Linked DNA regions of Elephas maximus indicus. The protein of the gene in region 2 purifies or fractionates together with the protein of the main gene of each other region. This does not show direct contact. Links are inferred from orthologs where the notes say so. Each region holds a gene or a part of one and is shown on either strand. Other genes may lie near its edges. The genes, in order: YAF2 and BCORL1.

What was found.
Region 1: the proteins of BCORL1 (region 2) and YAF2 purify together in Homo sapiens (affinity purification with mass spectrometry; 5 studies listed by BioGRID and IntAct, counting the BioPlex papers as one, with this or other methods). This does not show direct contact. The link is inferred for Elephas maximus indicus from reciprocal best matches to the Homo sapiens genes BCORL1 and YAF2.

Annotation. Positions count from the first base shown.
Region 1 is NC_064822.1:96,839,231-96,854,347, forward strand, and holds the start of YAF2 (YY1-associated factor 2), read right to left. Parts: upstream 7,739-15,117; 5' UTR 7,615-7,738; coding exon 7,589-7,614; intron 7,175-7,588; coding exon 7,049-7,174; intron 5,391-7,048; coding exon of another isoform or gene 5,189-5,390; exon of another isoform or gene 1-5,188. UniProt on the Homo sapiens protein: Binds to MYC and inhibits MYC-mediated transactivation. Also binds to MYCN and enhances MYCN-dependent transcriptional activation. Increases calpain 2-mediated proteolysis of YY1 in vitro.
Region 2 is NC_064846.1:26,452,257-26,467,876, forward strand, and holds the start of BCORL1 (BCL-6 corepressor-like protein 1), read right to left. Parts: upstream 7,656-15,620; 5' UTR 7,567-7,655; intron 7,263-7,566; exon of another isoform or gene 7,244-7,262; intron 7,010-7,243; exon of another isoform or gene 6,871-7,009; intron 6,318-6,870; 5' UTR 6,238-6,317; intron 5,554-6,237; exon of another isoform or gene 5,249-5,553; intron 4,564-5,248; 5' UTR 4,439-4,563; intron 3,590-4,438; exon of another isoform or gene 3,574-3,589; intron 3,455-3,573; exon of another isoform or gene 2,918-3,454; intron 534-2,917; exon of another isoform or gene 1-533. UniProt on the Homo sapiens protein: Transcriptional corepressor. May specifically inhibit gene expression when recruited to promoter regions by sequence-specific DNA-binding proteins such as BCL6.

The DNA.
Region 1 (15,117 bases), on a different chromosome or scaffold from region 2:
GAACGCCTGTTGAAGTAAATATGTCATGTGTAGAAGCTCAAGCTAATAAAACTATAAACCAGCAGTTTATAAACTTTCTGCCCTCAGATCTCTTTACACTCTTAAAGGTTAGAAGACCCCAAAAAACTTTTGTTTATGTGAGTTTTATCTATTGATGTTTACTGTATTAGAAAACTGAGAAAAAAATTTAAAGTATATATTCATTTTTTAAAACCATAATCAGAACATTCCGCATCAATATAAATATTTTAATGTGAAAAAAATCTTTATTTTCCAAAACACAAAAATAACTAAGTATGAAGAGTGGCATTGTTTTATATTTTTGCAACTCTTTAACATTCTTCAGAATGGAAGACATCTATCTGGATTCTCGTATTTGCTTTGCCATTCAATCTGTTGCAGTATATTGTTTTGGTTCAATATAAAGAAATCTCGACTTCCAGAGAGTAGTTGAAAAAAAAAGGGGGGGGAGGAATATTTTAATAACCTTTTCAGATAACTGTGGATATTCTTCTTTGATACTACATAAAAACACAGTAAAGAGTCTTTTCCCAAAGTTTAGTTGCAATGTAGAATGGAAATCATCAATGAACTTTTCATACTGTGTTCCCTTTAAAATCAATTGGTTCGTTTTGCACTTTGAATTATTCACGTATGGTTTTGCAACTTCATCCATTGATCACTGGGAAAATATTAGGTCACTGAGTTATGCAGATGTTCCAAATGCTGACACATTTTATGGTATGATATCAGAAATCACATTCATTAATATCACCGCCAATCTTATTAGAAAAGTCTTTAAAGTACTGGGAAACTCTGAAGCTTACTGTAGTGCTTACAAGTTTTCCAAAATTCTTATTTTCATTTGAAAGTTCAGCTTTTATCACTGGCAGCAAATACTGACAATTGTTTTCCTTGAAGTGGCAGGCTCACTTTGTTTCTGAGAAAATCTCTGCTGAATAACCAAGTCTGAATAGCCACAGTTTTGTCAGTCATTCCTTCAAATAAAAATGATGTTCTATGAAAAAAGGAACTAATTCTGCTCACAACTCAAACAACTGCATAAATACTTTTCCTGGAATCAACCACTGCACTCCGGTATGCAGCAGAAGTGCTTTATGTGTACTTTCCATTTCATCAGAGAGAATGTTAAAAATGACATTATTTAATAAAATTTATAATTCTTAATGCCTAATCAAGGATATTCTTAAGTGGAACTGGCATTATGTCTCCTCTGAGCGCACAATAGTGAGGAAGACGAGGAATACAGCAATTTCGTGCGGCTGCTTTGATTCATGCTAAGGTACCAGCAGTTTTACCCACCACTGCTTCTGCACCAAAGGAGCCCTGGTCGGGCAACGGTTATGAGCTACAGTTGCTAACCAAAAGGTAGGCAGTTTGAATCCACCAGCTGCCCCCTGGAGACCCTATGGGGCAGTTCTACTTTGTTCTATAGGGTTGCTTTTAGTCAAAACCAGCTCGACAGCACCTAACACCACCACCACTCTGGACTATGCAAACAATAATCACCTTCAAAAACAGTCATCATCAAGTCGATTCTGACTCATGTGTTGCAGAGCAGAACTGTGCTCCACAGGGTTTTCAAAGCTGTCATCTTTCAGAAGCAGATCACCAAGCCTTTTTTCCGAGGTACCTCTGGGTGACCCTGAACCTCCGAACTTTTTTAGTAGCCAAACACTTAATAGTCTGTACCACCCAGGAACTCCGAAACCAAGATATACAGAAAAGAAAAAACAAACAAGTAGTCTCCTATAACAAGGAGTCTCTGAACAACAACGGGAGTCCCTGGGTGGTGCAACTGGTTAAGCAGTCAACTACTAACCAAAAGGTTGTTGGTATGAACCCACCCAGAGACATCTTGAAAGAAAGGCCTGGTGATTCGCTTCTGGAAGGTCAAAAAACCAAACCCTGTGCCGCCGAGTCGATTCCGACTCATAGCGACCCTACAGGACAGAGTAGAACTGCCCCACAGAGTTTCCAAGGAGTAACTGGTGGATTCGAACTGCTGACCCTTTGGTTAGCAGCCGTAGCATTTAACCATTATGCCACCAGGGTTTCTGGAAGGTCACAACCTTGAAAACCCTATGGAATGCAATTCTACTCTGCATACATGGGGTTGTCATGGAGTCAAAATCGACTCAATGGCTATTGGTTTTTATTTAGTTTTATTGTGAACAACTCTGTGGTAGCTGAGGAAGATCCTCAGAGAGACAGGGGATACTGTATTTCTGAAAAATTAACTTACACCGTCTTCAATTTTTTCTCCCATTCTCACTCTGAGTCTAAGACAATCAACTCTGTATCAAACTTCAAATTAGAAGACAGAAAGCAAGTATAATACAACAATAATATTGAAAAAATTTCTCACCAAATAGTTGGTTTCCTTAAGGTTTCTTCAGAATGTGAATTCTATGTAGTTTACCCCCAACTTATAGAAGCAAAAGTAATTTATTCTTTTTACCAGCAGCCAGATCCTAATCATAATAATAAGTTCAGTTATAAACTTAAGATTTTTTTTAATGGAGAAGTTACTACTCTTTGGCTCATATATAAAGGAAAGATTTACTAAAAGTACATCATACACAGAATTTGGTACTGTTCAAAGTGTTTATAATTTGACAACAAAGCTAAAATCTTACAGAAGAAACAAGTAACTATTTTGCTCACCATTTTATGTCCAGTACTTAGTTCAGACCTTGCATAAAGTAACATGTTCAGTAAACATTTGCTGAATGCTGAATGTTGAAGTGGTTAAAATAAGATATGAACCCAGATCACCAGATTCCTACTTCAATACTTAGCGCTCTTTACACTATGTGGAATCTTTTCCACATTTCTCTAAAATAACACCTATGAGAAATCCAAAGGAATAATCGGCCCTCTATATCCACGGGTTCCTTATCCATGGACTCAACCAACAGTGGATCAAAAATACTAATAAAAAAAAAAAAAAGTTCCAAAAAGCAAAACTTCAACTTGCCACGCGCGGAGCACTAAGCTGAATCCAAGCAAATGAAAGGATGTGTAGGCTGTAGCTTCCCACCATTTCCCAGACCCTCAGCTTCTCTCCAGAACTCATTTGAGCATTGCTTACCTCCCCTCTTGTTTGCTACTTGTGTTGTGTGCACTTTGGTTTCTGTAAAATGGCTCCTAAAAAGCCACAAAGTGGTCAAAGCAATCCCTCGAGGGCTAAGTGTGAATGGGTCTAAGACAGCTGGAGGAAGTTTAAGGCTAGTAGGGGATGGCTGGCTAGCTATGTAAAGCTCTACGACCTCAAGAACCTCAAGATCACAGGCAAATAGGCATCGGCTGATGGCCATGTAGTATCAGTGTTCCCAAAAGAGCTCAAGAAACTCATAGAAGAGAAAGGCTACCTTTCACATCAAGTCTTCAACTGTGATGAAACAACTATTTACATAGCATTTACGTTGTATTAGGTATTATAAGTAATCAAGAGATGATTTAAAGTACACAGGAGGATGTGTGCAGGTTATACCCAAATATTTTGCCATTTTATACAAGGGACTTGAGCATCCTCAGGTTTTGGTATCTGCAGGGGTGGGGGAGGGGAGTCTTGGAACCAATTCTCCTGCAGACACGGAGGAACAACTGTTTTACAAGTTACACTGAGAAAATATCACAGGTAAAGATATTACATCTGGAAGTCTGCTATGTACCAGATATTTCATAGGTTCTCATTTAGACCACAGCTCAAAACTAAAACCAACTGCTCTATTATTTTCATTTCAAAATATCTGCTATCTGAATTAAGCAATAAAGTCATTCTTCCATATATATATGAACAACTGGCAATAAGATACTAGTTTAATTCAATCATTATATACTGATTACTATCCTCACACACATTTTTTTCTCTGGTGATGGTTCTTAATTTCCTAAAGTTTCCATTTGGGACACTTACTGCCTCATAAGAACTTCAGGTATAAAGATGAAGAAGGCAGTCTGCCACTTATGGGAATCATTTGTCACCACAGCTTTGTTTTTCTAAGTTTTTTCTATTAGTAGGACATTTATCAGTGTTTAACTCACAAAAGCACAATGTAGAAAACTTCAGGTATTTGAACCATCTAGCTATTTAGATTCCGGATTTTGAAAAAAAAGAGTTGAATAGATCAAATTTAAACTCATGAAGGCCACCAAGTACAAAAACTGAAATTCAATCACAGAAACATAAACTTAAATAATATAATTTATCATCTGAGGAACTGAAGCTATGTCCAGTCACATTTCATTTTGAAATACATCTTATGAATATAAGCTCATTTCACTGCATATAAAGTCGTTCTGCAGAAAAGCATGACCTACCAAGGAAATATCCAAAAGAGTTTTCTGTTGCAACGTAGAGAATTTGAACTAGATAGTCTTAAAAAAAAAATGGTCTGTAAAGACTTTAAGGGAGACGATGGAATCATCTTCTCTGGATTTTTAAATGTCTAGGATGGCTTAGACTTGGCTATAAATTTAAGAGACTGAGATACCATCAGTTCAAAGGTCAGTGTGACCCAAGGGATTGAAATCCTGTCTTCTGGTCACACAAACAAGTCATTAACAAACTGGATCCTTCAGAGCTGCAGCTATTCAGTTCCTTGGTTTGGTACTCTCCAGCCTTACCCTTGAAATTACCTTAACTGCTAATTAAAATGTCAGTTGTAGAGAATTATTTCTTCCAACTACTGCAACTTTTGCTTCTTAGTAGTGTTCTACAGTCTTTTCATTCTGTTTTTCTAATATTACCAAAGAGCAAACTATTTTGTGATGCCATCAATATCTGCCCTATTAACAATGCCCTGTTCTATTGTTCTTTCCAAACATGGATTCCACTCTGAATTTCAGAAACAGTGATAGGAAAACAACAGATTAACAGAGAAATTAGAGCTCTTACGTTTAATTTATGGCCAAAATCAAAAGAGAAGAGACAATTCAGAGAGAGGAAGGAAGAAGCTGAGAGGGTCTTAGTGTAGAACACTTACTTTTAGGAACAGAGTGTCCCTTAGACTTCTGGTGAGTTGCCCAGAGCCTCTTCAGTTTCAATCCAAATGACAATGCTTCTCTGAGTCCTCCTCAAGTAATGATTCCACCACTAAAAATTGGATCTACAAGAGCTCAGAAGTACTGGTAAAAAATGTCAGGGGCCCCCACATGGGCCTCAAGCCTCTTTTAAACTAGGCCCACTTCTCTGTCCTGGGCCAACTCCCCTGTGCACTATATTCCTTCTTCTTCCAGGTGCCAGGTATGCGGCCTGTTTCTTCTCTTCTGAGCTGTCACCACCTACTCTATTTCTCAGGGTTCCTCTAACCCCAAGACTGGCTGTGGAGTAGGACACCAGCTTCCCCCCTTCCTTGCTGTCCCTGCAAATAAACATATAGGCTCTTCTAATTTCAGTATTTTTCTATTGGCTACAAGAAAATAGAGGGAACAACAAAAAGCAACAACATAGTACCAGAGATTAAGATTATAATAATTGTCTCCACTTTAAAGCGCCTGTCTCCAAAAAAACAAATTTTCTAGAACTTGTTTATTGAGCATTTTAAAAAGTATAAAGTACTAATATAAAATATACAAATATAGCCTAAACCAAATCCAAGGCAATAAAGATATCAAGATAAAAGGATATTCTGCTTTTCAAAATACTTAAATCACGGGTCCAAAAACAGTTTACGATCAGATTCATTTACACATACAGGTACTTTTTTCTTTTTATAATGTTCTGCTGTTTTATTCCCTTGAATATAGTAGATGTTCAAAAACTTGTTTTTTAAAGAATATGAAAATGTTCAATACATTTTATCTAATACGAGTGGGAATTAATATACAAAAAACATCTTATGATTTACCAAAAGACTTCAAAAGCATCTGGTTTCACTAAGGAAATGTTAAAATTTTAAATTAGTGTCAACCACTTCTACCTCTATATTAACATTTTTTTAATGAAATCCCATAAATGGGGTTTAAAAATCAGGATATCTCATTTTCAGAAATCTAATACCAACTGAATATTTAAATCTAACATTACCGATATTTAGGCTCTTTTTTTTTTTTTAACAAGAGACCACATTGTAAGATATTAATAATGTTCTTATACTTTTAATAATTTCATTTCTAACAGACTTTGTAAGACCATATTACATAAACTATATAAATATTAAGCTATAAATCAGAGGATTCTAACAACTTAATTCAAAGGCTACCCTCCTATAAAAAGGCAAAGCAACTCCCTAAGTGCTGGGAGATCAAAAACGTCATTGACTTCGAATTTCCTGGATGATTTTCGTTAGCCACTTAATTGACTTAAGTGGTTTTTTAAGAGACAGAACTATTATACTTTAAGCGTACAATAACATAAAGTTAAAACTGAAAATAGGCAGGGATCATTTTATCTCATTTGTATAGTCTAACAGATTGCCACTTAATCAAGCTAAAGCTATTCAAATACTTTCAGTAAAAAAATGTGTCCTATTGAGTGGGCTTACCTCCAACTATTTATTTATAAAATATTGGAGAATTTCCATAAGAATACTAAACAAGACCCTTCCATATTTCAAAATGAAGTTTAAGCTACCGTGTATTCTACAGATACTTTTTTCTTTTTTGAGGAATGCAATTAGATTACATCCTTTGCTTCCAAAGTGGATTTCATGGGCTTTCCTTGATCCCCACACACTAATACAAAAATGCAGCCAAGATTATTATATCCGGGGCGGGGGGGGGGGGGGGCTCCATTACACTCAGCAATACGAATTAAATCGCAGTAGCTAATGCCTCTCTTAAATAATTTATCCTCTCCTGGCAGCAAAAAACGCTACAGCCTCTTCAATTACCCCTCACCACAAACCATCGCCTAGGTCGCGATCAATCTGACCCAGCTGCTATCGCGGCCACCACCTCAGTCTCACCTCTCCTACCGTTTGGGTCTGCAAGTGTCACGGGAAGGGGCGGCCGCCGCAGGGGCGTCCTCTGCGCCGCCACCCGGGCACCCGGCGGCGCGCGGGGCAGGCCCGGGACTCACCGTGTGGAGGTGCCCTTCCGCACATCGCACATCATGCACTTGAAGGCCTCGGCGCTGTTCCGGAAGGTGCAGACGCTACAGTCCCAGTAACCCTCATCCGAGGACGGCTTCGGCTGCCGCTTCGGCCTGCAGGACACAACCCAGACACGACGCGGCGCAGGGTCACCAGCAGGCCGCGCCCGGGCCCCGCGGCCATCCCCGCCCCGCCCCAATTCCGCGACCCCCGCCTCACCGGCCCCCGGCGCGCTGCGCTCTGGCTCGGAGGGGGAGGGGAGTCAGGGAGGAGAAGGGCGCGAGAGCCGCCGCAGTAGCCGCCGCCGACGCTCTACCACTGGGGGCTGCCCCTGTGGCCACCGCCGCCATCGCGCCTCCATTGTGGGGTGGCCGGCGCTGGCCCCTCACACGGCAGCGCTCGCGCAGCAGCGGCGCCGCCCCCGTTCTCGCCCCGGTGCCCGGGCGGCGAGTGAGGCGGCCGCCCGAAACCCAGCGCGAGGGCCCCGCCGCTCGCACAGTCGGGACCCCGGTGCCGGGCGCTCTTACCTGGTGGGGCTCTTCTTGTCTCCCATGGCTTGGCTACAAACGCACGCCAAGAGTCGCCGCCGCGGCTGCTCTGTTTGTCAATAAGAAGGATAATAAGCCCGGCGGAAGCAGGCGGGGGAGGGAGGAGGGAGGGGGCGGGGAAGGCCGCACCGCGGAGCTCGGAGCAGCCGCCGGATCCCACGCAGCCTCCAGCTGTCGGGGAAACTCCTGCCTGGGCGCACGTGACCCGCGCCTGCCAACCAGCGGCCGCGCCGGAGACTTCAAACACGGCTAGCGCGGCCCAGCACCCGCGGCCAGTTCGCTGGCAGCCGCTGCAGCCTCGGGCGCCGCCGCAGCCGCCGCAGCTCCGCGCTCTTTCCCGCGCTTCCATTCTGCGTCCCCGAGTGTCGCACGCTTCGGAGCTCCTGCTAGGAAGCGTGTGGCCTGCAGGAGGACTGGGGATGCTCCGTCATCCCACGCGAAGCCTGGTTCGAAGTGAGGCCAGCGTTCGGAGGTAACCCATCGCGGGACAGAAGGGACCTGCGGGAGTCTGCAGGTAGAACCGCTTTCCTGGCCTCAGCCGTCCATGTCTACTCAACACCCGCCCGAAGGATACCTGGGGGGAGGCGGGAACCGACATTGAGCGCCATTGCTAGGTGTCAAACACTGTCTGCCTAAATCCACACAAATGCTCTACTGTATAGGCGTTGTCACCCTCAATTTAGAGAAAATGAAACTGAGGCTCAAGAGAGATTAGGTGACTTCCTGTAGGTTACATATTAGAAAGTGCAAATCTAGGAGCCTGAAAAAAAGAGCCTGAGCCTGGTTTAAATCCAAACTAGCCCTCTTGGCTTTCCAGGACTCTGCAGTAGCAGCTTTTAAAAGAAAATGAATACTCATAAACCTTTGTTTTTTTTAATAACAAGTTTGCAAACCCGTTTTTTTTTTTTTTTTTGACAAAGGAACACTTTTCCCTTGGTCTCAACGTAATGGAGGCCCTCATCACCTTGTTCTACACTCTGGTACAGCCATGTAACTGCTTTCTGAAGCTCCAATCCCACCGCACCAGTATATATCCTAAACCACAGCCAGATTAATAATAAACATTGTTAACATTATGCCACCACTCTGCTCATAAGCTAATGGCGACCAGACTCCTTAGGCTGGCATTCAAAGACTTAACACAAGTTTTCCCTAACTCTCATTCTACTCCCCAACAGAAACGCAGCCTCCTGAGGAGGATTAAAGAGGAAACCGCTTGCCGAAACCCTTCGTGCACTGCATGAAATATTTCCCCCTTCTTTCTGACCAGACTCATAGCTCATAACGACCCTATAGGACAGAATAGAACTGCCCCATAGAGTTTCCAAGGACCGCCTGGCGGATTCAAACTGCCGACCATTTGGTTAGCAGCCGTAGCACTTAACCACCATGCCACCGGGGTTTCCTATGAGTCAGAATCAACTGGACGGTGCTGGGTTTCTTTTTTCGGTTTGGTCTGACTAGAGATCAATTATCCAATAATCAAGGTAAGCGCAGTGCTTACCTTGCTTACCAGATCATATGTAGTGAACAATTCACGTGTTTTCACCACATGAAAGACTCTGCTTCTGGTATGGCTGGCATCTTTCTCTCAACCCCACAGCACCTTCCTACAGGATCAAAGACTGTCTTCAATTTTGCAATCCCTGACAAGAGCAGATAATCCAGTAAGCAAAAGTAAGTATGGGCTTACTTTTGCTTACTTACTAATCTGTAGTGAACAATTCAAATACACGGTGACACCCACGTGAAATTGTTCACTATAGATTAGTAAGTAAAAGTAAGCTTGCTTAGTGGGTTATCTGCCCTTGTCTCTGACTACTATTTCTGCCCATCTTTGTAGGTTCGCGTCAGATCTGAGTTCCTAAAGAATTCTTTCTGTTTTATAGCTGAAAGGGTCTTAATGTGCTACAAAGGAAATAGTACAGTTAGAAGTCCCAGTTCCCAGCCTGTTTCCCCTAATCTTTAACTGATGGATCTTGAAAAATTTCTGTAATTTTCAATTTTTTTGTCTGCAAAATGGCATCTATATATATATATATAAGGTTGCTGCGTGACTAGTAATAATACAACATTTTTTAGCACTATATGCCAGGCATTTTGTAAATCTCTGTATACAAATGGGTATTTTATAAGGCTCAAAAGTACTATGCAAATGTTAGTTCTTCTCTAGTCTTAATCTCTTCATTTAAAAGACAAGGAAGTTAGGGCCTAGGTTAAATGGCTTCTGTTTAATGAATAGGCCAGGATTAGAGCTCAGATGTCTATTAGTCCTCTACCAAGCCATGTGTTCTGCTTAACCAAATCACCCCAATTTGCAGCAGCCTCTGAACTCAGCACTATCCGTACTTTTTGCAAGTGTCACTTTTTTTGACTCAAATCCTGATTCAGAAACCATGGGGATTTTGACTGAGGAAAGCATACAAGAGAAGGAGATCTAAAGCCTAGTCTCAGTCTCTCAGTAATGCCATGGGTAAACTTAATTAAGCCACTTGGGTTTTTTTCATCAGTAAAATAAAGAGTTAAAACTATTGTCACAACTAAGGTCCCTTCCAACTCTAAGGCATTGTGATGTTTTTTATATTCCTCAACTGGATGCATCATCAAAGAGAATGACAAGAACTGGTCTGTTTGCAAAAGTGATGGCAACACTGTATTTTTCAATCAAAAGAAAATCAAATCAAGAACTCTAAAAAAAGTTGTCAGTGGTGTAAATCACCATTTCACTAGAAAATAAATTCCACCACTAGAAAGTAAGCTTCACTTCCAAAGCACAAGTGCAAGAAGGGCAGGAATTTGTATTCGTGGTATTCATCGCTGCACCTCCAGTCACTAGAACAGTCTGACACATAATGGACACTTAATAAATATTTTGAGAAGGAATAAATTCATCCATGCCACAGTTCATGGATGAGGTGTTTTTTCACACTGAGATTGACAGCCCATTACGCATATTGGCATGCAGTAGATGGTCTATAAATGCTGAAGTTTACAGCCCTGCACACTGAACTTTACAACTCTGCAAAGTAATCCTTGTAGAGGAATCAGAGATTGAACCCAGTTTCTATGAAGCACATGCCCTTGCACTATACCAGTTGCTGACCATTTATTGGGTGCTTTTTTTTTTCTCTTAGAAAGATCCTGCCTTTACTAAACTTACGTGAAGAAGCACCTCCTCCTTCTTTACCACAAGAGTCCAATCTTTTTTCCTGAAGTGTTTTTCTTACGGTTTGAAAAGAGTGACTGCAGAAGAGGAAGATCCTTGTCACTAGAGTGATCCAGGTTCTTAACCATTTAGGTGCCTTTTCAATACATTTGCAGAGTTCAGTCCGCAAACGTAATTCATTGGGGTCACTTGTAAAATGACACAAACTGGCAATTGTTTTAACAATTTAAAAGTGGTAAAGTATTATAATAATTTACCATTAAAAAATTAAGTTAACTCCAAGGTAACTGATATATTCATTTCCATTTTAATATGCTTCCTAGAGTGGGAAAGACTGGAGAAATTACTGAAACTGTACGTGAGATCATGCGTGCAGCTGAACAGTAATCTGTTTGCTGTTGAGATATAAAAAAGACTGAGTGCCCCTGTCTTACATACATTGAGAGACTAACTGCGTGGTCCCGTGGGCCCCAGCCTGTTCTAATTAGACCCAAGTTTATGCCCATGAAACAAACACAACAACAATAAACACCATGCATTAAAGTTTTATACACCTATTAGACAACAAGGGCTAATACTTGATATGGTGAGCACTGTCTCATTTATCAACTGGAATTTGAAAGGAAATTAGTGTGACTAAGAGAGGAATAAGATACAATTCTTCCCTGAGAGAAGAACTCAAAATGAAATATAACAACAATAAACTACAATTGTAAAACCAATCACATTTTAAAAGGTTAATTTGGTTTTTGTCTGTTTCTTTGGTGTTTTGGTTTATTTTGTTTTTGCAAAATGAAGATACCTTTACTGATTTTGCTCGGTATAAAAGTTATATGTCACCAACATAAAAAGTTGAGCAAATTTTTTTTTATCGTACTTTAGATGAAAGTTTACAGGACAAACTATCTTCTTATGAAACAATTAGTATGCATATCGTTTTGTGATATTGGTTGCCAACCCCTGACACGTCAACACTCTCCTCTTCTTGACCTTGGGTTCCCTATTACCAGCTTTCCTGTCCCCTGCTGCCTTCTTGTCATTGTCCTTGGGCTGGTGTGCCAATTTAGTCTCATTTTGTTTTATGGGCCTGTCTAATCTTTGGCTGAACAGTGAACCTCAGGAATGACTTCATTACTGAGCTAAAAAGGTGTCTGGGGGCTCAGAAAAGATTTTTGAAATTAACCTATCTAGTACGTTCTTGTAACACTACTGGTGGTGGTGGTGGTATTACATGCCACTGAGTCAGTTCCAACTCATAGCAACCCTATGTACTACAGAATGAAACACTGTCCAGTACTACGTCATCCCCACACTTGTTGCTGTGTTTGAGCCGGTTGTTGCAGCCACTGTGTCAGTCTATCTCCTTAAGGGTCTTCTTCTTTTTCACTGATCCTCTACATTACCAGGCATGTTGTCCTTCTCCAGGGACTGATCCCTCATGATAACATGTCCAAAGCATGAGAGACAAAGTCTTGCCATACTTGCTTCTAAGGAGCATTCTGGCTGTACTTCTTCCAAGACAGATTTGTGTGTTCTTCTGGTAGTCCATATTATATTCAATACTCTTCACCAACACCATATATTCAAGTGCATCAATTCTTCTTCTGTCGTCCTTATTCATTGTCCAGGTTTTGCATGCATATGAGGTGATTAACAATACCATTGCATGGGTCAGACACACCTTTGTCCTTAAAGTGACATCTTTACTTTTCAACACTTTAAAGAGGTCTTTTGCAGCAGATTCGTCCAATGCAATATGTCCTTTGAGTTCTTGACTGCTGCTTCCATGGGTGTTGATTGTGCATCCAATTAAAATTAAATCCTTGGCAACTTTTCTCTGTTTATCATGATGTTGCTTACTGATCCAGTTGTAAGGATTTTTGTTTTCTTTATGTTGAGACGTAATCCACTGATCTTCATCAGTGTTTCAAATCGTCTTCACTTTCTGCAAGCAAGGTCGTGTCGTCTGCATGTCTCAGGTTGTTCATGAGTCTTCCTCCAGTCCTGATGCCACATTCTTCTGCACATAGTCCAGCTTCTTGGTTTATTTGCTCAGTATATAGATAAAATAAGTATGGCGAAAGGATACAACCCTGATGCACACCTTTCCTGATTTTAAGCCACACAGAATCCCATTGTTCTGTTCAAACAAAAGCCTTTTGGTCTCTGTACGGGTTCTGCACAGGCAAAGTTAAGTGTTCTGGAATTCCCATTCTTCGTAATGTTATCCATAATTTGTTATGATTCACACAGTTGAATGCCTTTGCATATTCGATAAAACATAGCTATACATCTTTCTGGTATTCTCTGCTTTTAGCCTAGATGCATCTGACATCAGCAGTGATATCCCTTGTTCCACATCCTCTTCTGAATCCAGCTTGAATTTCTGGCAGTTCCTAGTCAATGTTCTGCTGAAACCACTTTTGAATTGTCTTCAGCAAAATTTTACTTGCATGTGATATTAATGATATTGTTTGATAATTTCCACATTTTGTTGGATCACCTTTCTTTAGAATGGGCACAAATATGAATCTCTTCCAGTCAATTGGCCAGGTAGCTGTCTTGGCATGGACGAGTGAGCACTTCCAGTGTTGCATCTGTTCGTAAGAACATCTCAGTTGATATTCCATCAATCCCTGGAGCCTTGTTTTTCACCAGTGCCTTCAGTGCAGCTTAGACATCTTCCTTTGATACCATTGGTTCTTGATTATATGCTACCTACTGAAATGGTTGAACATTGACAAATTCTTTTCAATACAGTGACTCTGTGTATTCCTTCCATCTTGTTTTGATGCTTCCCACGTCTGTCAGTTTGTTGTACTCTGGTGGCTGGCTTGCGTGTTGCTGTGATGCTGAAAGCTATGCCACCAATATTTCAAATATCAGTAGGATCACCCGTGATGGACAGGTTTCAGCAGAGCTTTCAAACTAAGACAGACTAAGAAGAAGGACCTGACAATCTATTTCTGAGAAAATAGGCCAGTGAAAATCTTATGAATAACAGCCAAAACATTGCCTGATATAGTGCTGGAACAAGAGCCCCTCAGGTTGAAAGGCACTCAAACTATGACTGGAGAAGAGTAGAGTCGACATGGATGAAGTAAAGCTTTTGTAATCTTCTTTGCTGATGTGGCGTGATTCAAAATGAGAAGAAACGTCTCCAAATATCCATGAATAATCAGAATGTGGAATATACAAAGTATGAATCTAGGAAAACTGGAAGTTGTCAAAAATGGAATAGAATGCTTGAAGATGGGTATCCTAGGCATTAGTGAGCTGAAATGGACTGGCTTGGGCCATTTTGAATCAGACAAACAGATGGGCTACTCTGCTGTGAATGAGAAATTGAAGAGGAACAGCATCACATTCATTGTCAAAAAGAACACTTCAAGATCTGTCCTGAAGTCCAACGCTGTCAATGATAGGATAATACTCATATGCCTACGAGAAAAACTAGTTAATACAGCTGTTCAAACTTTCACACTAATGCCAAAGATGAAGAAATTGATGATTTTTTACCAACTTCTGCAGTCTGAAATTGATCAAACACACAGTCAAGATGCATTGATAATTACTGGTGATTGAAATGTGAAAGTTGGAAACAAAGAAGAAGGATTAGTAGTTGGAAAATTTGGCCTATGCGCTGGAGATCGCATGATAGAATTTTGCAAAACCGATGACCAATTCATTGAAAGTACTTTTTTTTCAACAACATAAAAGGCAACTATACACGTGGACCTTACCGGATGGAATACACAGGAATCAAATTGGCTACATCTGTGGAAAGAGATGATAAAGAAGCTCAGCATCATCAGACAGAACAAGGCTAGGGGCCGACTGCAGAACAGACCATTCGTCAACTGCTAATATGCAAGTTCAAGTTGAAGCTGAAGAAAATTAGAAAGAGTTCACAACAGCCAAACTATGACCTTGGGTATATCCCATCTGAATTTAGAGACCATATCAAGAATAGATTTGATACATTGAACAATGACTGAAGACCAGACGAGTTGTGGAATGACATCAAGGACTTCATACTTGAAGAAAGCAAAGGCCTTTAAAAAAACAGGAGAGAAAGAAGAAACCAAAATGTATGTCAGAAGAGACTCTGAAAATTGCTCTTGAATGTAGAGTAGCTAAAGTGACTGGAAGAAATGATGAAATAGAAGAGCTGAACATAAGATTTCAAAGCGTGGCTCAAGAAGACAAAGTAAAGTGTTATCAAAAAATGCGCAAAGACCTGGAGTTAGAAAACCAAAAGGAAAGAACATACATGACATTTCTCAAGCTGAAAGAACTGAAGAAAAAAAAAAATTTTTGTAATATTGCAATATTAAAGAAT
Region 2 (15,620 bases):
AGAATTCAACTTCAGTTCACCAAACAAAGTCTCCATCCTAAAACATTGTTTTTAAAATCATAAATAGTGGGAAAGGGTACTATTTGGAAAGAGAACAGGTTCTACATTAGCTTAAGATGACCACTCAAAATTGGCATTAATAAAGCACAGTTCATATATGAGTTTAAATAAAATACTACACTAGCATCCCAGTGGCCAAAAGGTAGGTTATCACCTCCCTCTTTGGCTATCTTGACATTAAACATTCTGGCAAGTACTGACTCATTTTTAATTTGAACTCCAGCAGTGAAAATCTTCTTTTCTTTTTGAAAACTCTAAGATCTAGAGGAAACCGTGGTGGCGTAACCATTAAGTGCTAACCAAAAGGTCGGCAGTTCAAATCTACCAGGCGCTCCTTGGAAACTCTATGAGGCAGTTCTAGTCTATCCTATAGGGTCACTAAGAGTCAGAATCTACTTGATGGCAATGGGTTTGGTTTTTGTTTAGCGTCTAGGGTCTTCCCTCCCCTTACAATTATCAGTGGCGGCCTTCTCCCCTTTCCCATCTATTTTATCCCACCCACCACCAACTTCTACTTTCCCAGAATGCTCTCTGTTCCACTCTAGTGGTAACTTCCTCACCCAAACTCAACCAAGACCTTCTGTCTCAATCCTGAATGCTGGTTGGCCCTGGAACACAGCTCTCTATTCCCTGTGGCTGTTCTATTCCATTCCAGTCTTAGCTCAGCCCAGAATCAATGAGCCTAGGCTTCAGATGTCATCCTGTCCAACCCCTGATTAGCGCCTCTCCCCCATGCCCGCACCCCACCCGCAAATTCTGGCCAAGGCCCTCCTGCCACTGCTCTTTATCCTGTTTCACTCTGGAATTTCCATCACTAACGTCCTTGTATCTAGGATCCCTCCCACTTGCCGACTGGAAAAACTGGTGTATTCCCACTTTCTCCTTCTTTCAAGGGCTTTATATTTAGGACAGCGGATTCCTTCCCCCATTCAGTATCCTTACTTTCCTCTAGATTTTCTAATTAATGCTTAGTCCTGGATCCGTGCTAATCCCTGCTTCCTTGCCCCTACCGGGGCAGTTGTCATGAAAGGCAAGTTTTTCCTTCTCCAACAGCAGCTCCAAATGCCATCTGAGTAACTGTCTTCATCCTTTGGCTCTTTATTTCTCTCTTACTTTTTTTTTTTTTTAAACCTGTATACTATTTCTAAGTTCTCTATTTTCTTATGGGTACATATATTTATATTTCTTCCTAAATGCCAGTTTCTCCCCAACCGTATTTCTACCCAAAATCTTCTTTATCTCTTGCTCCCTCCTTAGTGATCTTAACATGACACCGTAAAGAAATGTAAAGGTTCTTCAAACTTTACTTTGGAGAACATTGTCCTAGACATTTCCTTACTGGGCCCAAACATGGGACCAGTGATGATCATTTTTCTTCTTACCTCACTATCCACTCTCTTCCTTTCTAGTACTGAAGTCCTCTCCTCCCATAATTCTGTTCCCTTAAAAGCAGCCCATGATCTAGACTAACCACGTTGTGAGATTCTCTGCCACCTGTATTAAACATTTTTCCCCTCCTATGAAGCAAATTATAGGAGTCCCTGGGTGGTGCACACAGTTAAGCATTCAACTACTAGCTGAAAGGTTGGCGGTTCAAACCTACCCAGAGGTGCCTCAAAAGAGATCTGCTTCCGAAAGGTCATGAAAAGCCCTATGGACCACACTTCTACTCTGACACACATGGGGTCTTCTTAAGTTGGAAATGACTCAATGCCAACTAACAACAACTATTTCGTGAATTAAATTATGAATAAAGCAAACAAACACCTAGAAGAAATCTTTTTGCTTCCCAAGAAAGTCCACACCACTGAGAAATAAATGTATCTTTCCCTTTCTCCCCTACCCTCTCCTGGCAGATCAAAATGACCAGATCCACATGAGTGCCCTTGGTGCAGCTGTCCTTTCTTCTGGAACTCCCCTCGACTCTGCCCAATTCAGACTCCAACAGCGTAGCTTTTCAGGGCCTTAGCTTTCCTCTGCCCATCTCGAGGATTGGCCTTCCCTTCCTTATTAGCATATTCTAAAGAGCTAGTTCTCCTTAGCCCAGGCATTAGGGACCCCTTTCCCTTCCCCCATTAATTACTTTTTGAGTCCCATTTTTTTCAGCTCCAGGACAGAAAGAAACCTACCTACCTACCCACCCCTGCTGCAAACCTAATGTAACAGGGTCAGTTCTCTTACAGCCAATTTTAGTAAGGATCTGTGCCCCAAGGCCTGTGCCCCTCACACCCTACACCCACCTCAAGGACAGCTGCCTCAGCTGCCCTATCAAAAGATGGGTCTGCCTATCAATATTCACTTGACTTAGTCAAGATGGCCATGTCCCTCCTAAACTCTACTATCAACCTTCAGACTCTCTTGACTCACCAAACCCCCTGCTCCTCCCAGCTCCCCGAGTCTGTCCTACTAATTTCGCTTCTCCATCAGAATTTTATAAGTTCCTCCCCAACCTTTTGTTTCTATTTAGAGATTCTGGGTGATTCTTGGGATTGAGTTACCCTGCTTAATACCCAGTGAAACCTCCCGAATTTCTACATTCTTTCATCTTCGGTACCACACAGTGATATCATCTTTGGATATGAGTACCGCTAAATCTCCAAGTATCTTCCACTGTGCCACCTACCATCTCCCCCATAACAAGGTTCCTTCTATGCCAACATTCAAGGACAAAACAAACAGAGAACTATATGACCTTTAATGTCTCTTCCAACCCTAGCATTTTATTATTCACCTAATACGTTCCTAACCCCAAATGCACCCCTTGTCTACTTCCCCATAAAACATTTCAGCAACGTGACTTTGAGAACTAGCCTTTTAAGTTGAAACAACTATGGAGCTAACCCAGTGTGATGCTAACCGACAACTGCATCCCCAGAAGTAGCACCAAAGCGTTCTGCAACTGTATTCCACTTCTGTACCACGGAGAAAACATCCGAAGTGCCTTGCGAGTATTCAGCTGTAACACAAAGTTACCTGCCCCCTTCCCACATCCCCCTCGCGAGTGCCTAATCCCTGGGGCTTGACGCTGTCATGACTCTAGGAGACATCGAGACTAAGTACCACCACACCGACAGTTTCGAACCACCACCACTAAACATTTCAAAACAATAAAACAGAAACATAGCGCTTCCACTGGGGGAGGGGGGAAGGGGCAGGCGGAATAGTAGAACCCCCCTCACCGGCCTGTGCTGTCGGTCTCCCGGGTTTGCAGTGTGCTTGCCTCCCTCCTTTCCCCTCGACCACATCTTCCCCTACCACAATCTCCTGCACCTCCATAACTCGAAATCCCGGAGCCGAGGTGCGGCCGGCTCCTCCCAGTCTTGCCCCGGACGTCCCTCCGGCCCAGCCTTCCTCTCGGCGGGACTCCGGCGAGGAGGGCCCCCTCCACCGTCCAGCTCACCTCCCTGTCCCTTCCCAGGCCCCCCTCCAGGGCTCTGACCTGAAGCAGAACCTCGAGGAGCCAAGCCCACGAGGCCCGTCGCGGAACCCACCCCCCCCTCCTCCTCCCAGCACCTCGTCCTCCATGCACCCGGCCCCCGAGGCTCCTTGTCGTCGTCGTCCGGGCTCGCACCGCCCCCCGTCGGGGCTCCACCCTCCCTCCTGCCCCCGCCCCCAAAACGGCCCCCTCCCCACGGCGCGCCAGCGGCGCCCTCTGCCCCGGCACGGGACTCCCTTTGGCCTCCGTTCCCCGCCCAGAAGCGGTGGCGGCGGCAACGGCTGCGGCGGCCCCAGCAGGAGCAGCGGCGGCGGCGGCGGCGGCGGCGGCGGCGGCAGCACCGCCCCGGCCCCGCCCCGCCGGAGCCCCACGCCCCGCCCGCCCGCCCCGCCGCCGGACTGCTCCCCCCGAAGCCCACCGCCGAGCCCCCCCACGCCGCGGCCGCGATCCGCTCGAATCCAGCTCCGCGGGGCCTGCTGGCCGTTCTGCACGCCCCTTAGGACCCGGCGGCGAGGGGGCGGGGGGAGCCCCTGGTTCGCGGCCATCCCTCTCCCTCCTTCTCCCAGGGCTGGGGGATTGCCCCTGATCCCGAAACCCGGCCCCGTAATCGGAGCCTCCCTCCCTCCAGCCCTCGGCTCTGCTCGCAGACCCCGTGCCTCCAGGCCTGGCGCGAGGCGGGTGGAGGGCTTGCACGCTGGCTCTCCCCCTTGCTGGCCGGGGCTAGGGTGAATTGCCCCCGATCGCAGCCTCCTTCCCTGTAAGCCCCCTCCCCACCGCGCCCGGCCCGGCGGCCCCCGCCCCTGGAGCGAGGGCAGCTGAGCCAGGGCGCTCCGAAGTCATCCCCCGCCTTTTTTCCAGGGACTCGGCTAATTGCCCCTGCCCCCATCACAACACTCCCACTCCCGAACCCAGGCCCCGCCGCCACCCAGGGGTCCCCCTTACCCTATGGTTCCCGCACCCCAGCACCGGGGAGAAAGCAGCCTTCAAGAGCACCCGGCGCACCTCCCTTCTGAGGTTGGAGGGTATTTTCTCCTGGTCTTTTCAAGACTTCATCACGGACAACCCCCCTAAAAAAAAAAAAAAAAAAACCAAGCCCTTTCTCGCCCTGCCCTGCTGACCAGCCTCCCTTAGGGTTGTCGGGTTCTTGGATGGGGGGTCGAGGACCAGAGAGTTCACAAGACCATAGCCTCCACCGCCCTTTCCGAGGAGTAGGGTAATTCCAATGGTTTCCTCCCCAGGATCAATCGACCCCCGTGTTTCCATGGAGGCCCCCGCCCAGCCAGGAAGAAGACTCTTCCTCGGATCCTGGTGAACAAGTCTCACCTGGCTACGGGAGAAGGGGGTGAGGCGAAGGTAGGCTAGGGCAGAGGAATGGGGTACGAAGGTGGGAAGTAGAGGGGAGCTGTCCCGAAGGGAGGGGCGAGGACAGAGCGAGCTCCAGGGAGCGCTACGTCCGGGGACACGAAGAGGACGGCGCCCCCAGGGACAAGCAGAGCGGCCACGGGGCGAAAAAGGGACAGGGCTGGTGAAAAGCTTAAGATAGAAAGAAGACAGTGGGGGGATACGAGAAAGCAGGGGAGTCAAAAGGGGTGGAGGCTTGGGGGAGAAAAAAAAAAAGACGCACCTGTTCCCGGGTCGGCTCCGCGGGGAGGCTCAGGCCGCCACCCGGGCTCCCTCTAACCCCCTCGGAACCGCCACCCGCCTAATACCGCCCAGATCAGCTGCCCCCCTCCGCCCCTTATCGCCACCGACCTCCTTCTCCTCTCTGTCGGCGGCGGCGGTCGGACTCTAGGAACTGAGAGGAAGAAGGGAGGGCTCAGCAAAGCGGAGGAGAGACAGAGCCACACACTGGCAGCAGCCGCGGCGAGCGAAAGAGTGAGGGGGAGAGCGATGTGTGTGTGTGTCTGTGTGTGCGAGAGATGCCTGGTGGAGTGGGTGCCGGTCGCAGGGCTCGACGGGAAGTGGAGTCCGGCCGGGCTCGCGGGCGGCGCCAGCCCCTGCTCCGTGGGACTACAACTCCCAGAACACCGCCGACGTGGGGGGGGGAATGGAGAGGAGGAGGCGAAGGGAGCGAGCAAGCAAAGAGAGGGAGGGACGAAAGCAGGGAGCAAGCGGCGGCGAAGGGGGCAGAGCCAAGCAGCCCCGGTGACACTGGGAGGGGAGGGGAGGAGGAGGGGATCGCGGCGAGGACCGAGCGGATTCCGGAGAGGGACGCAGCGGTGGCTGCAGCAAGCCGGGCAAAAAGCTAGACTCCTGGGAGAGGCGGAGGTGCTCAACCCGAGGGGCTGCAAGAGCTCCATGCCCCCCCTCGACGTCCCCCGAAGGGGGAGGTTGAGGAAGGGAGATGAGTGCGCCTAGGCCAGGGATTTCTCTTTCTTGCAACCCTCCCCACCTTATGCCCCGACCTGACTTTCTCAGGCCACTGGTGCCGGATCCAGTGTGCAAATCCGGAGACCTCCCCTGCCGGGCAGCACAGAGCAAACGCATTCAGTCCCCTCCTCCCAGGGGCCAGAGGGAGGCTCCCCTCGCTGGCAGGGCGTGACTCCCCCCTTCTTCCCTCCCCCCCCCCGCCAGCCGTCGCCACCCCCCATCTCCCTCCCCGGAACCCCTCCCCTGAAGCCGGGGCTTGCCTCTGTCTCCCCGCCAAGAATCGGAGTCCCTTAGGGGCGCAGACCCAGTCCCCTCCCTTGTACTGGGCCCTCTACCCACCAGTATCCCCTTCTTAGTTCTGCCCCCCTCACCTAAGTGATAGTGGGGGCGACTCGAGTTGGACTGATGGCGACTTTCCCTCCGAGGCCAGCCGTCCTCCGCCACACCGATCCTGTGTCGAGATAGAGAAGCACGTTAATATTCCCGCCCCCCTCCCCCCGCCAGGTTCGGATTCCCGTGGAAATGGCTCGCAGGAAAGGGGTTGGTAGTGGAAGTGAGCCGGGAGTGAATCCCAATCTTCAAACCTCATCCCAGGCGTGGAAATCCAGGGATTCTTCCCTTTCCTTAAAAGACAAATTGCTTGGGGTACCTAGGGGGTAGGTTAGCTAAACCCCAACGTCCACGCGACTCGAAGCGACGCTACACTGTAGAATAAGATACGAACTAGCCTGCCGCCGCAGGAGGGAAAGTCTGCCTCACCATCATCGTGCACCCCCCCCCCCTCTACGCAGACCCCAAAGGAGAGTCAGATGGCCAAGAAAGGACGGGAGGCAGTGGGAGTGCTGGGGAGTGGAAGGCTTGTGCGGGGAGGGTCCGCGGCCCCCTGAGAGCAGGATCCAGATGCTAAGAGGTGGGTGGGGGGTGCGGCGTAATTGCAGACGGTGTCTTTGCTCGCCTTTCCCGGAATCGCCGCCGAACCCCGTCTAACACTCGGAGTTGCTTACCAGTCAGTCCCCTCTCCCCATTTGTGCGCGGGAGGCGGCCAGAGCCCGGGCAGCCCCGGCACAAACTCCACGGAAGCTGGCCTCCGCCGCCGCCGCGCTGCCGCGGGCCTCCCTCCCTCGGCTCGCGGCCCCGCCGATCTACCTTCGCCCCCGGCCGAGGCCAGACCCCGTTCTCAACTCCACGCCCCTACTCCACCCCCGGCTCCCCTCCCTGCTCGGCCCGCGGGTCCGACCCAGCCCTCGCGCCGCCCCGCCCTACCGCTCGGTCCCGAGCCCAGCAAGTGCCCCGAACTCGCCCCCCACCCCCACGCCCAGGCCAGCCCTCCAGGCCTGCTTCCCTCCCGCGCGCCCCGCCCCCGAACCCACGTCCTACTTCGCCGCCCAACTCGGCCCCGGCCCGGTTCGGCCCGCGCCCAGGCCACCCGCGTCCCCGGTTCGGTCCGGTGTGCGGCCACCCACCCCGCCCTTGCCTGAGTGCCGGCCTGGCCCGCTGCCTGCGCCCGCCGAGGCGGCCCAGGCGCACGGTCCGGGTCCGGGTCCCGGCCTCGGTCCAGGCGCCGTTGCCGCGTCTCGCCACGAGGGCTCGGTCCACGCAGGATCCGAACCCGCGCGCGGTGGGGGCCATGGGAAGCAAGTTTCTTCCCCCCCCGCCCCCGCCGCAGGGCCGCGCCGGCCCCCCCACGGCGCCCCCTTCACCTGGGGAGAGCCCCCCCGCCCGCCGCTGTGGCAACTTTGCTCTTCTCCACGCCGCCGGGGGAGCGGGCGACGCGGGAGGAGGAGGGAGGTAGCGAGGGGGGGTGTGCTGAGATCAGGCCGCTGGGCTCCGGGAGGACACGTGGGGGAGGAGGGGAAGGAGGAGGAGGAAGGGGGGCAGGCCTGCAGTTCTCGGGGCTCCCCCTGCGAGCCCCGGGGAAGCCGGAACCTCGCCCGGCAGCCGCAGACCCCGCACTGGCCACGGGGGAAGAGCGGAGCCACCTTCCTTGGCCAGCCCCGGGCTCCAGGAAGGGGGGGGGGCCGCGAGCAGCGCCGCTCGGGGTCGGAGAGCGAGCGTTTTCGCTAGTGCTTTATTTGTGACTCTCTCTCCCCGTTTTAGCCTCACTGTGTGCGTGTTGGGGGGTGTAGGGTATTGCATGCCGAGGGGGGCGCCCCACTAGGCGACCCGCCCCCCCCCGCCCTCCACTTCCCCACCCCAAGCGACCTCGGTGCGTGGCTCTGGCGCTCGGGCACCGAGGCCGCCCGCGGCTGAAGTGGGACAGGTGCTGGGGAAGGGAAAATGCCGGGGCTCGCCGCCTCGCCTCGCGACTCCGAGGCGGCCCACCCTTCGTGGTAACCTCCCGGGCTGCAAACTCCCAAAGCCGCCCTCAAAGCGCAGCCCCCTACCTGGGCGGGGTGGAGGCACGGGGCGGGGTGGGGGAGGGATTGAGAAGCGGGAGAGGGGAGAGGAGGAAGGGGGCGAAAGGTCTATAAAGGGGGAATCTTGCACGACTCGGGGGCCAAAAACCGGCTCGAAGAGGACTCGGGTTCTGCCCGCTTTTCCTGGGTTCCTCAGGCACCAATCCGAGCCCCTTGACCCTTACCCTTTACCCTAACGACTCCCGGCCTGGCCAAAGAAATAAATTCTCTTGTGTATTTACATCCCAGGCCATCCCCTGGACTGAAGGGCTGAAAAGCAAAGTTGTGGTCCACATTCGAACTCTGGTGACTTTACATTAACTCTAACGAGGAGAGAAGCTTGCGAAGGAGCTGAAACTGCAGGCAGACTCGCTTTCAGTCTTCGGGTGCTTAGCAGCTCTAACCCTGAGCCTGTAGTAGAGACTTCAAAGGCATCGCCTCAGCCTGGAGGGTATTAGGGGAGGTGCCCAGTAGTTCCTGGAGGGTTCAGCGCTTTGTAAACGGAATGTGGAATGAATAGCAGGAATTAAAAAAAAAAAAACTTTATGTGCAGATATATTGATACTATTTATTATATACTTATCCATACTAAGGAAGCTGGAGAGTCATTTGGGCTAGAAGGAAGCCCTGCCGAATGAATGCCCTCCTCCTCCTCTTTCCCACCCCCTCCCTTTTCCTAGGCCCAGGGGGTCCATCTGTAAGCTAGGGGCTGTCTTCCCTCCTCTGCTAGGACTTTTGAGATGGTTTGTCTCCCTCACCTGGTTTGAGGGATGTGCGTGGGTACTGAGGAGGAGGACAAGTTATCTAAGGTTGCAGTGGCTTTGCTGTTGCTGAGGCCTGGTGTTGGATGACCCCCTCCTGCTTGTCCTCACTAGCCTCCACATCTCTTGGCTGCAGAATGGACATGGTGCTGGCCATTTTGTTTTGCTTTGGGAACCTCCTCACTAGCTTGTTTTACTTGGCCACTGCACCCTCCCATACACGCCTGCCGCCCAAAAGTGTTTGGCCTAAGGTGCACCAAGGGAAGGTAAAGATTTGGAAATAAGTTGTTCAAGCTAATCAACATATGAATTCAAAATGCATTATTAGGGGGAAACTGCCTCTTGAGGGGGCCCCACCAATTCTGCTTTGATTTAAGTTGATCATCTTTGCTGATTTTAATTAAATCTAGTAATTATGAAATCTCTACTTCTCTTAAGGCTCTTAGGGCCTTAGGGCTACTTTGCTCCTTGGTCTGAGGCTGAAATGGATTCTGGCCACCTCTGTTCCCACTAGTCTGTGTCTCGCCATTTGGCTGCATCATTTATCTGGTGAGATGAAGGTTGGGGCAAGATGGTTGTTTCCTGGCTGGAGCTCTAGCTTCTCTGAGCCCTTTCCTGTTGGGGGCCAGGCTTCCTGCCCTACAGGAGATGATGGGAAACCAAGGAGCAGGGTGGAGAGAAGTGTGGGAAACCTTGTAAAGAATGTAGATATTAATGATGATTTTATTTTAGGCAAGAACCGCAACATAACCATAATAATAATACCTTACTTTCGTACAGCATTGGACTGGTTTATAAGGCCCTCCCACTTACATTATTTCATTTGTTTCTCACAATGCTCAATTTTGTAATTGAGGTGAGGACACTGAGTCAATGAGAGTCAATGAGTGGCTTGCTCAAAGTCATATAGCTAGTGAGATCCTGAGCCAGGACTCAACCCCCAAGTAGTAGTCCTGACTCCCCATCCAGAGTTCTTCTCAATATGGTACCTGTCTCCACTGAATACCAAAGTAGTCCTTTTTTAGGCAGATTGTTTTTTCTGATTATTTCTCCCACCAATAAGATCTATTGGCCCAGGCCTTGACTCTCAGAGAGGCATCTTGGTATAATGGAAAGAGGATTGTTGAGAAGTTCTAAGAACCACCAGGTCCTAGTCCTGTCTTGTCAATAACTAGCAATGTGACCTCAAACAAGCCGTAACATTTGACTGAGTAGTGCCAGCCCGATGCCAGGGACTATGTTTTGGGTCTCTTCCCCGCCCCCCCCCATAATACGGAAATCAAGGTACCTGCCCTACTTCCGCGAGCAGTGAGCATCGTATGAGATAAAGGATGGGAGATGGTTTTGTACACCATAAGCTTCTGGGGTCATGTAGTACAGAGACCTAGGGGTGACTCCAGCTTGGGCCCCACCCTCCTGCAACTTACCAGACAAAGCAAGGCATTGGGGAGGGGGTCTCAGTAGCCCCAAACCAACCTCCAACTAAATTCATAGGATAATTGCTTCAATTCTCTGCTTTGTTCTGCAATCAGAGGTCTTGTCTCTCTGGTAAAGCAACCCAGCCCTAGGACCAAAAAAAAAAAAATCCCAAATACTTTATATCTTTAGAATGTCAGAGGGAAGCAAATTGGAGGCTTGGCCGTCCCTTCATTTGCTGCAGTCGCTCATTTGAAGGTGAAGTCAGGTTTGGAACTCAGTCTCAAGGCTGCCAAAGGGCTCATTCTAAGTCACCCCGGTGGAAAGGGGACCAGGGGCGAGGGGGAGATAGAAAGAGCCTCACACTTGCTAGGAGACAGTGCTGGGCTGGTGTGAGGTCGGCAGGGCCGGCCAAGGGTTACATGGTGTTTGCCAGTGTTTCACTTTATGTTCTGGGGAGGGGTGGGGGAGGATTCAATGCCTGCTATTTGTAAATCTCAAAATCACAAACCCTATTACAGCAGGGTTGCTGCTGTTCGTGCATTCCAGCAGCCCTTGAGCGCTGGGGACCAAGCGCTGGCTCACCGAGGGAGAACAAACGGCCAGCCAGCTGCCCGGGAAGGCCTGGGCTCTGCCCTGGTAGGACCGCGGGTCTAGATCTCGAGCCAGCCTGTCTGGTTAAACTTAACTCTGTCAACAACCAACAACCTTTTTAGATTTTATGGCCAAAGGGGGGAAAATACGAAAGGGGACTAGACTCACCCCAGAGGCCTCACCAGGTCAAGCCCCCTCCAGCTGGCTGACCACTCCCCCCGAAGACTCTCAGGCACTTAACTAAGTTCTTAATCAAACATACAGTATTAGAGATGGAAGGAACTCTAAGAAATTACCTGCTCTCCTGAAAAACTGGCTGTGGCTGCCCACTGCCAGCTGTTTCAGGACACCTTCCCTCACCCCGGCCCCCTCCCTGTGGAAGTTAACTGCCCTTCTAGGGTATCTCCACAGTACTTAGCTTATCCCTTTATTTAGCACTTTGATATACTTTGCCCATGTCTCTTTCCAACCGCATTTTTAATTCCTTGGATGAAGGGACCCAGTATTTCTCCTCTGTGTATCACATTCTTCTTCCTCTCTCCCCCACCTTGGCATAGATTCCCGATGCCATCGAGTTGATTCCGACTCATAGTGACCCTATAGGACACAGTAGAACTGCCCCATAGAGTTTCCAAGGAGCACCTGGTGGATTTGAACCCCCGACCTACTAGTTAGCATACGTAGTACTTAACCACTAAGCCACCAGGGTTTCCTGGCACAGATTAGGCCCACTATAAATGTTTGTTAAGTGAATGAATGAGTGAATGAGCTAGTCCAACTCCCTTGTTTTACAGTGGGGAAGTGGAGGCCCAGACCTGGCTTCCCTTCTTGCCAGTTAAAGACTCACTTTTAAGTCTCGGTCTCTTTTAGTCTTTCTCTTCCCAAATAGTGGCGATGCACACAATCTCTGAAGTTAGGGATATTGCCTTGGGCATTTCTCTCTGAGCCTCAGTTTCTTTGTTTATAAAATTGGGGCTAATAAATACCTCTTGAAAACGTTATAAGGACCAAATGAGTTCCTGGCACCTAATAGATGCTCAATAGCAGTGTTTTTAAAATCTGAGAAACGTTTATGAGTTCAGAACCTGGGAGTACCTGCTTAATTCAAGCCCAGGAATAAAAGCCACAACCTGAACATAAAGAAAAAGAGAAGTATATTTTCAGTAAGGGAAATGGAATGAAATTTAACAAGACCTTATTTAGTAAAGCGGTTATCCCCCTCCCAAAAGAGGCTAAAGGATACTGAGGAAAAAAATATTGAGACTAGCGCCCAGTTCGGTGGCCAACAATCAACTGGCGCTAACCAAATTTCAGTTCCTGGGATGGCTGCGTTTGTCCTGCTGTGTGGTGGGGAAGTTGGCATGGGACTGAGGTGCCCTGCTGAACCCACACATAACATTCTCACCCCTATCCCAGTGCCTCCACCTGAATGCCACTCTCCCAGGCCAAATCCTTCAAGTCCCACCTGAAGGAAGCCTTCTCCAAATGCTTTTTGCCTTTAGGAATGCTCTCATCCCTAACCTCTTGGTAGGTTAAGTACTGCCCAGCTTAGCACTTAATGCTTTTCTGTGCTAGTTTGACCTCCCCATTTGAGGGTAGGCACCTTGTCACAGAAGGTGGATCCCCACCTCCCTCCCCTACCTCCCCCCTCGCCCGCCAGCATTTGAGCAGACAGCACTCAATGAATATTTGGGATTCATTGACAGTAGCTGTTCTTGGGGAGCAGTGGGGGCATAGGCCTCCTCAAGTCCTGCCCACCATGCCTTCTCCCAATGCCCCGTATCCGTACAGACACTGCCCTTCTCAAATCAACCACTCAGCCTTTTCAGTAGCCATCTTGCCTCTTAAATTTATAAATGTCTAGAGGGCAAGGGCTATGTTTTCCTGTGTCCTCGACCCGGCCCAGCATAGCACTACCAACATTAACAGCATAGAGTAAGCACATAGTTTTGCTGCTATAGATAACTTGGTAAAGATACCATTCTTATTTTGGGTTTGTGTGTGCATGTGTGTTTATATATATTCTTGTGTTTCTGTTCTTCTTCGTTAAACTGCAAGGGGCTCCAGAGGAGGAATTGTCCATTTTTGTGAAGACTTGCAAGATAATTAAAAATCAGGTTAAGATCAGGTATTTAGATTTTTTTTTTAAATCCATGAAATGAGTGTTTTGCTGTCAGCACACATTCAATATAAACTCTTACACCAATGTTTCTCAAGTTTTAACATACATAAGAATCATTGGGGAGAGCTAGCTTGTTAAAATTCAAATTCCAAGGCACCCTCCTGCCCAGGGTCTTACTTAATAGATTCGGGCTGGTGCCTGGCACTCTGCATCTCTGAAAGTCTCTACAGATAATTCTGAACCAGCGGATCCATGGACTATACCTTGAAAGACACTGAGCATTTTTTCCATTTTCATCTTTCCCAGAGATGCCCAAACTTTTCGCTAAGAAGGGTTTTATTATTTCTTTTCCCTCAGGGACTCCATTTAACAAAGTTATATGTTACTTAGTACGTACCAGACACTGTTCTAAGGATTTTACAAATACTAACTCGTAACAGCCCCACAAGGTATTATTTCCCCCTCTTACAGATGAAGAAATTGAGGCACAGAGAAGTTCAGTGACTTGCCCGAGGTTGCCCAGCTATTAAGGTTTTTTTTAATTGAGGTGAAATTCACATAACATAAAATCAACAATTTTAAAGTGACCAAATCAGTGACATTTAGTACATTCACAACGTTGTACAACCATCAGCATTTTCATCACCTCCAAATAAAGCTCCACGCCCGTTAAGCAGTTGCTCCCACATTCTTCTCCTCCCTCAGCCCCTGGAAACCACCAATCTGCTTTCATTTATACGGATTTACCTATTCAGGACATTTCCTGTAAATGAATCACAAACTTAGCATAATGTTTTCATGGTCCATTCACCTTTGTAGCTTATATTAGTACTTCAATCCTTTTTATGGCTGCATAATATTCCATTATATGGATATGCCACAAATTTGTTTACCCATTCCCAGCTAATAAGTTTTGTTTCATTTTTTGTCTGCTTGTTCTGTTTTTGTTTCTCCCCAGCGAGTAAGTTTTGAAGTCAGAATTCGAATCCAGACAGTCTAACTTCAGAGTCTGTGCCCTGAACTCCCTTGTGTTCGAAATGCTCATCTATTTAAACAGAACATGTTTTCCTGTAATAATTAATTTGCCAATTAAAAATTTACCAAACACATCCAAAACTACCCACCAGAGCTTCAGATCAGCCAGAACTAGCCACATTGTGGTAATTTTATTCCAGCCAAAACCGAAAAGCACTCGATGTGTAATCTCTGCAGCTTCATGCAGGTACGTGTTTGGTTTCACTGCGCGCATGCGTGCGTGTGTGCGTGCGTGTATGTTAGTTGCCCTGAGTTGGCTCCAACTCATGATGACCCCATGTACAATGAAGCAAAACGTTACCTGGTCCTGCACCAGTCTCACAATCGTTGGTATGTTTGAGCCCATTATTGCAGCTATTGTGTCAGTCCATCTCATTGAAGCCTTCCCTCTTTTTTGCTGACTCCTCTACGTTACCAGTTGGTCTCAATAGACTTTATGAAGTACTAAACACAATTCACAGAGTCTCCCACAGGCTTTTCTGGGCTTGGGGACCCCAATTAGGGATCCACTGATGGCAAATCCTTGCAAGATACCCAGTCAACAAAGAGCGATTCTATTCAGTGGCTCAGTAGATTCTACTAACAATCCAGAAAGTGGGCTCATGTATATTAGAAAGATTTCCTACTCAAAGCAGCAGGACAAAAAAAGAAGTTAAGGATTAACCTTTAGTAAATGAGAAAATTCCAAAATCCAGAGGTGTTTTCGTTAACTAGAGTTTCACCACAAAGAATGCACAAGGCCATGTCCCCAGGACCAATAAGACAGTCTCCCTGAAAGGCCTTCCAGACCTTCCAGAGGCCTTCCAAACCCGAAGCATCTGCTCTGACAGAACCCAAGGTGAGAATGCTATTCCAACACAACGCTGATCACATGATTTTTCTCCTGACTTGTCAAGGGTGTGGACAAAAAAATAAACAGGCTTGCATCTCCTCTGGAGGCTTGTGATACCCATGTCCCATGTCTGATAGCCCCATTTGATGTCCTGAGCACTGCCCTCTCCAAAGGCACCCGTTGTAGGCGCATCAGAGACCAAGCAGCTGGGGTAGATTCAAAACCATTAGCCCTGACTTCGCTCAACAGAATAAAATGAACATCAAGGAGTGCCTTGAAAGGGAAAAGAGACTACAAAACATGGCGCTTGAGAGGTGAGGAGTGCACAGTGAACGGTGAGCAGGGGAGGCTTCTTCATCCAAGTAGCCCAGAGCCTAGCAGAAGGGCTGGTGCTGATGGGAAAGTGCTCAATACATGTTTGTTGACTGAATGACTGACTGAAAGAGAGCCTTCTTCTTGGTCTGCAGGTTGCTGTGGAGGTGTCGTAGAGCTGCTCTGTGGGGACAGAGAATGGAGGGCAGTTGCCATAGGTCTGGAGGGCCCTGCCAGGACCGACACAGACCGTGTTTTTCTCTGTCTGAACATTTCTCCCAGGCAA